2 linked regions of the Macaca mulatta genome follow. The protein of the gene in region 2 binds, or shares a complex with, the protein of the main gene of each other region. Links are inferred from orthologs where the notes say so. Each region holds a gene or a part of one and is shown on either strand. Other genes may lie near its edges.

Evidence for each region. The genes of interacting proteins can lie anywhere in the genome.
Region 1: ACTL6B (region 2) and SMARCB1 share a complex: the UniProt entries of both Homo sapiens proteins name them as parts of the BAF complex. The link is inferred for Macaca mulatta from reciprocal best matches to the Homo sapiens genes ACTL6B and SMARCB1.

What each region holds. Positions count from the first base shown.
Region 1 is NC_133415.1:27,973,353-27,976,918, reverse strand, and holds part of SMARCB1 (SWI/SNF-related matrix-associated actin-dependent regulator of chromatin subfamily B member 1), read right to left. Parts: intron 2,988-3,566; coding exon 2,858-2,987; intron 1-2,857.
Region 2 is NC_133408.1:47,852,086-47,855,651, forward strand, and holds part of ACTL6B (actin-like protein 6B), read right to left. Parts: intron 3,288-3,566; coding exon 3,193-3,287; intron 3,127-3,192; coding exon 3,020-3,126; intron 2,008-3,019; coding exon 1,918-2,007; intron 1,761-1,917; coding exon 1,699-1,760; intron 1,562-1,698; coding exon 1,447-1,561; intron 1,310-1,446; coding exon 1,229-1,309; intron 1,124-1,228; coding exon 1,028-1,123; intron 830-1,027; exon of another isoform or gene 813-829; coding exon 726-812; intron 1-725. UniProt on the Homo sapiens protein: Involved in transcriptional activation and repression of select genes by chromatin remodeling (alteration of DNA-nucleosome topology).

The DNA.
Region 1 (3,566 bases), on a different chromosome or scaffold from region 2:
ATATTTCTTTGGGACAAATTCCTAGGGGTGGTATTAGTGGGCCAGAGAACAAAAAAGTTTGATGTCAGGATGCTTTACAAAAAGGGCACTCCTGGCTGGGCACGGTGGCTCACACCTGTAATCCCAGCACCTCCAGCACACATGAGCGCAGCTCCATCACACCTTCCCCAATTCCTTACATTGCCAGTTTTTTGTTTTATGCTTGGAATTTTTATATTTATTTATTTTATTTATTTATTTATTTATTTATTTATGAGACGGAGTCTCACTCTGTCGCCCAGGCTGGAGTGCAGTGGCGCAATCTTGACTCACTGCAAGCTCCGCCTCCCAGGTTCACGCCATTCTCCTGCCTCAGCCTCCTGAGTAGCTGGGACTATAGGCGCCCGCCACCACGCCCGGCTAATTTTTTTGTATTTTTAGTAGAAACAGGGTTTCACCATGTTAGTCAGGATGGTCTCGACCTCCTGACCTCGTGATCCACCCACCTCGGCCTCCCAAAGTGCTGGAATTACAAGTGTGAGCCACTGCGCCCAGCCTTATTTATTTATTTTTTTGAGATAGAGTTTCACTCTTGTTGCCCAGGCTGGAGAGCAATGGTGCGATCTCGGCTCACCGCAACCTCTGCCTCCTGGGTTAAGCTCCGCCTCCCAGGTTCACGCCATTCTCCTGCCTCAGCCTTCCTGAGTAGCTGGGATTACAGGCATGCGCCACCATGCCCGGCCAATTTTGTATGTTCAGTAGAGATGGGGCTTCACTGTGTTGGTCAGGCTGGTCTCAAACTCCTGACCTCAGGTGATCTGCCCGCCTCAGCCTCCCAAAGTGCTGGGATTACAGGCGTGAGCCACCATGCCTAGCCTATTTTTTTTTTTTTAAGAGACAGGGTATCGTTCTGTTACCCAGGCTAGAGGAGAGTGGTGTGATCACCACACCCAGCTAATTTTTTTAACCTTCAGTAGTGATAAGGTCTCACTATGTTGCTCAGGCTGGTCTCCTGGGCAACAGAGTCAAATCCTGGACTCAGGTGATCCTCCTGCCTTGACTTCCCAAAGTGCTGAGATTACAGGCATAAGCCACCATGCTCAGTCTTATGGTTGGAATTTTTGAAATTACACGAGGGCAAATTCTTTCCATGTTTGTTTACTCCCTTGTACTTGAAGGTATGGACCATCTTTTATCTATTTGTTGAGGTATCCAAGTTCGTTGTATAAATCTAGATGTATAGATTCTAGATATAACATTGTAACTTTCCAATTACTTGCTTTTTTAATTGTTACTATAAATACTCTTCTTTTTTTTTTTTTTTTTTTTTTTTGAGACGGAGTCTCGCTCTGTCACCCAGGCTGGAGTGCAGTGGCCAGATCTCAGCTCACTGCAAGCTCCGCCTCCTGGGTTTACGCCATTCTCCCGCCTCAGCCTCCTGAGTAGCTGGGACTACAGGCGCCTGCCACCTCGCCCGGCTAAGTTTTTGTATTTTTAGTAGAGACGGGGTTTCACTGTGTTAGTCAGGATGGTCTCGATCTCCTGACCTCGTGATCCGCCCGTCTCGGCCTCCCAAAGTGCTGGGATTACAGGCTTGAGCCACCGCGCCCGGCCTATAAATACTCTTCTAAAGGTTCTAAGTTTTGTTTTGTTTTGTTTTGTTTGAGATGGAGTTTCGCTCTTGTTGCCCAGGCTGGAGTACAATGGTGCGATCTTGGCTCACTGCAATCTCCACCTCTCGGGTTCAAGCAATTCTCCTGCCTCAGGCTCCTGAGTAGCTTAGATTACAGGCATGCGCCACCACACCTGGCTAATTCTGTATTTTTAGTAGAGACAGGGTTTCTCCATGTTGGTCAGGCTGGTCTCGAACTCCCGACCTCAGGTGATCTGCCCGCCTCGGTCTACCAAAGTGCTGGGATTATAGGCGTGAACCACCACTCCCAACCAGGTTCTAAGTTTTTATACATTCAAATCTATTGTTGTTTCTTTTGTGAGTTTATGTGAGTCACTAATTTTTCTGACAAATTGGTCCCACTTATTTGTTTTTTAAGAGATGAGGTCTTGCTGTGTTGCCCCAGGCTGGTTTTGAACTCCTGGCCTCAAGCAATGCCTCGGCCTCCCAAAGTGCTGGGATTACATGCGTAAGCCACTGTGCCTCGCAGAGTCCCGCTTTCCAAGCATTCATAACTGTTCCCTGGAATCCAGGACTTGGCTTACGTTTCTTACAAATTTCAATGATACAGAAGAAACTTAGAAATCTGGCTAAGAAAATGTACAAAAACAGAGGGAACGGTTAAAAAGTGTTTCAATCCAAAAATTAGGACCAGGCGTGGTGGCTCACACCTGTAATCCTAGCACTTTGGGAGGCCGAGGCGGGCGGATCACCTGAGGTCGGGTTCGAGAACAGCCTGACCAACATGGAGAGACCCCCATCTCTACCAAAAATACAAAATTAGCTGGGCATGGTGGCGTATGCCTATAATCTCAGCTATTCGGGAGGCTGAGGCAGGAGAATCGCTTCAACCCGGGAGGTGGAGGTTGCAGTGAGCTGAGATCATGCCACTGCACTCCAGCCTGGGCAACAAGAGTGAAACTCCATCTCAAAAAAAAAAAAATTAGCCAGGTGTGGTGGCAGGTACCTGTAATCCCAGCTACTTGGGAGGCTGAAGCAGGAGAATCATTTGAACCTGGGAGGCAGAGGTTGCAGTGAGCCGAGATCGTGCCACTGCACTCCAGCCTGGGCAACAAGAACAAGACTCCATCTCAAAAAAAAAAAAAAAAAAAGGTGTTTCAATTTAACTTCAACCCAACCAGTTCTTGAGTCTGAGAAAAGACCCCACAGATGTCCCCAGAGATGCCTTGGCCAGGAACGCATTACCTGAGGTAGGTGGGGGGCTCTGTGCTGATGGACACAGCCTTGTACTTCTCATCGTTGCCGTCCAGAATCTCTTCCACTTCCGAGGCTTTTAACAGGGTCACACTGGTGGCTAGAGTTGTGTATCCGTGATCTGTAACAGACAGACATCACTGGGTCACTCTGCTGGTGGCGGTGGCACACAGCAGCCAGCCAAGTGGATGCAGCACATCAAGGTCCTCGCATGCGGGAGGTGGGAAAAGCAAGGTGTCAAACTCACTACTACCGAATGCTGGCCTCTTCCAAAAGGGCAATCTGGACTGAGTGCTTTACTTACAAGTCCTGCTGGGTAGAGCCTCCAAAGGGACTGATTTAGACTAATCTGCCCCAGGCGCACTGGCTCAGGGGCAGAGGGTAGTGCTCAGGGCAGCACCAGCAACTACAATACAGCACGACCAGCGGGGACACCTTGGTCCTCACTCGGGAAAAGAAAGGCCCCAGAGTAACACCCCAGTGGGAAGAGGTCTGACACCACCACAATCCACAACACGATGCGAGGTGGGGAGATGGAATGAGAGATGAAGAATGCTTTTCTTTTAAAACAAGAGCCCAGAGAGTTGGAAAGAGCTGCTTCACACCAAACCCGAATTTCTATCCCCGAGCCGGTCCAGATGGGCTGCCTGGAAAGCAGGACAGATTCTAGGCAGCTCGACCCCTCGCTCTTCCGGGGAAC
Region 2 (3,566 bases):
AACCATCAGGGTCTCCCCTCTGCTGACTGAACACAGTGGGTGTCTCACCAAAATCTCATCCTGACCAATCTCTCCAACTACCTGTCCCTCTACTCCTTTTTTTTTTTTTTTTTTTTTTTGAGAGAGAGTCTCACTGTGTCACCCAGGCTGGAGTGCAGTGGCACGATTTCAGCTTACTGCAATCTCCATCTCCTGGGTTCAAGAGATTCTCCTGCCTCAGCCTCCTGAATAGCTGGGATTACAGGCATACACCACCACGCCTGGCTATTTTTTGTATTTTTAGTAAAGACAAGGTTTCATCGTATTGGCCAGGCTGGTCTCGAACTCCTGACCTCAAGTGATTCGCCCGCCTCGGCCTCCCAAAGTGCAGGGTTTACAGGCATGAGCCACCGTGCGCGGCCTCTTCTCCCCAATTTGTAAAAGTAGAGATGGGTCTTGCTATGTTCCCCTGCTGGGTCTTGAACTCCTAGCCTCAAGCCATCCTCCCACTTCAGCCTCCCAAAGTGCTGGGATGACAGGTGCGGGTCACTGTACTGGGCCCCTGCCCCCAATTTGTGTCCTGTTCACCTTTCTGGGAACATTCATTGACCGACATTTCTCAAAAATAAATGTTCGTTGAATGAATGAATGAATGAATGAATGAAGAGGCAGGCAAAGTGGCGGGCGCTGTCTGGGTCTCCCCTGTCCCCCACAGTCAGTGCTAGGCCAGGTCCCCTTCCTCTCACCAGTGAGGCCAGGATGGAACCCCCAATCCAGGGGCTGAACTTGCGCTCCATGGTGCTGTTGCTGGCAATGAGTTTCAGTCGCATGCTCTGGGGGTAAAAAGGGGCTGGGGGAAGCAGACACCTAGGTTCTGGGAAGGGACAGGGCTTGGGGGGCAGGGGGAAGACTTGGGAAGCCTCAGGGGCAGGGGTTCTGCTCTGGTGGACAGAACAGAAGGAAGGACATGGGAAGAATGGGGGACTCAGTCCTGGACAGCTGAGCCAGGATGGGCTTCTGGGGCACTGGGTCAGGGGTGGGCTCCTACCGGTGGGGTCTTCTGGGAAAGCTCTCGATTGAGCCTGTCAGTGAAGCCCTGCAGCAGTGTGTTCCCGCCGGTGACAATGACACTCCCATACAGGCCCTGAGAGCAGGAAGAAGGAGTGAGCCACGGGGGACAGCCCCCCAACCCTGCCTTCCCACTTCCCCTGGGCCCCTTTGCCCAGCCTCAGCTCCGGCCTGGCCTCACCGGGCGAATGTCAATGTCACACATGCCGATGCTGGTGGTCACCACGTGGCCCACACCCAACATGGTATTCCCCGACAGGCCCTGCAGAGAGAGGTGACTGGGGCTGTGGGCCCTCTCCCCCTTCCCCCAGTCCCTGCAATCCTTCCCAGCCTCCCCCACGCCCCAGGATCCAAGGACTGCAGCCAGCACCCACCCCAGTCCTTGCCACACAGCCAAACCTTGACGTTCGAGGGATCAAAGAGGCCCTCGGGGATGCGGAGTCGCTCGGCGCCATAGTCTGTGTTGTAGCCATTGGGCATCTCGTAGTGCACTGTGGGCATTTGTGCAGCCACCCTGCCCAGAAGGGAGCAGGACTCTGCCTGGGGTGCTCAAGAGGGATCAGTGGGTGGACAGCACCAGAGTCCCCCAGCCCACCCCAGGAGTCCCAGTTCTGCCCTTTCTCCCACCCCCCAGCCCTGAGCCACACTCACTGTTCATCGTAGGGGGAGTCTGAGACCTGCAGCACGGAGGCCTGGAAGTCCTGGATCACCTCCTGAAATCCCAGTGAGGGTGATGAGGGCCTGGGTTCCTCCTGAGCAACACCCCCCGCCCAGCTCCCCCTCCCTGCTCCACCTCCCATGCAAGGCCCCTGCCTCGCCCCCATTCACGGCAGGGGAGGGGGCTTCAGGGGACCCTCTCCAGAGGCTCACATTACACATGTAGTTATGCCAGGACTTGGAGACCTGGGGGAGCTTCTCCTTCTTCTTCCAGTTTGGGGGGGCGCCCTCCCGGACAGGCTCCTGTGGGGACAAAGCGTAGGAACACCCTTTCTTAGCCCACCCTGACCCCTACCCCACCTTCCTGGCACTGTTCCCAGCTCTGCAGCTAACTGGCACTGGAGGCTCTGCTGTGCTGCCTGCAAGAGGGTTTCTCACCCTTTCCTGATGGACAGGAGAGAGAATGGGGCATGCCTCTCTCTCCGTGTGTGCCCTTCATGCAGTGGATACAGCTGACCTGGAGAACACCAGGAATACAGCAGTGACAGAATCTCCAGAGAATGGCCTCCTAGGGGGCCGCGATCCACGTGAGGGCACAGGACGGAGCTAAGCACACAGTGTCACTTCATACAGCACCCTGGCTACTGCCTATTACCGTTCCACTTTACAGAAGAGGAAACTGAGGCCCAGGGAGCTTTGATATCATGCTATTGGTCACACAGCTCTTTTTTTTTTTTTTTTCAGAGTCTCACTCTGTCGCCCAGGCTGGAGTACAGTGGCGCGATCTCGGCTCACTGCAACCTCTGCTTCCAGGGTTCAGGTGATTCTTCAGTCTCAGCCTCCTGAGTAGCTGGGACTACAGGCATGTGCCACCATACTTGGCTAGTTTTTGTAGTTTTAGTAGAGATGTGGTTTCACCATGTTGCCCAGGCTGGTCTCGAAGTGAGTTCAAAGTGATCTGCCTGCCTCGGCCTCCCGAAGTGCTGGGATTACAGGCATGAGCCACCATGCCCGGCCGGTCCCACAGCTCTTGCACGGCAGAGGCAGAACTTGAACCTGGGTTTATATTGAACCCTAGAACCCACCACACTGGCCCTCACACATCCTGCTGTCTGCTAGCTGATTCCATGACCTCAGCGTATCCCTCAGCCTGTCTGGATTTCAGATGCCTCACTTATATAAGGAGAAACTGGAGCCAGGACCCACTGGGGAGCCTGCTGCTCTCTGCTCTGATATCTCGTGTGTCAGCGGGTTGACGGCCATGGGGCGAGTGGCCAGGACTCTAGTGGCAGCTCTGTGTCCCCAGAGGCCCCACCTTGGCTGCGATCATGTAAGGTGGGATGATGTCAATGGCCATCTCCTGGAACAGCTCCCGGCACTGCATGGAGATGAAGTCCCCTGCCAGAGGGGACTTGACGATACCTGGAAGGAAGGCAGTGTCAGGATCTCGTCCTCCTGGTGCGCCCCTGCCCCTTGCCGAAGCCCCACCTTGCTGCAGGACGTAGCCGTCATGTACTGGAATGGCCGTGGTGTGGGTGGCCCCACTGTCCAGCACAAGGCCCGTGGACCGCCCGTTTGCAAAGCTGGCATCGGATGGGTAAGTCAAAGAGACAGCAGTGGCAAATGAGGGGCCTGGGCCCAGATCTGGTCTGGTCACTCTCTGCTCTGCCAGGGTCCAGCTCATCCCCAGTGTGCAAATCTCTCCTCCTGGTGATGACTCATCTCCTGGAGAAAGGCTCTGAGACCCCAGTTACTTCTTTTTTTTTGTTTGTTTTGTTTTTGTTTTTTTTTGAGACGGAGTCTCGCTCTGTCGCCCAGGCTGGAGTGCAGTGGCCGGATCTCAGCTCACTGCAAGCTCCGCC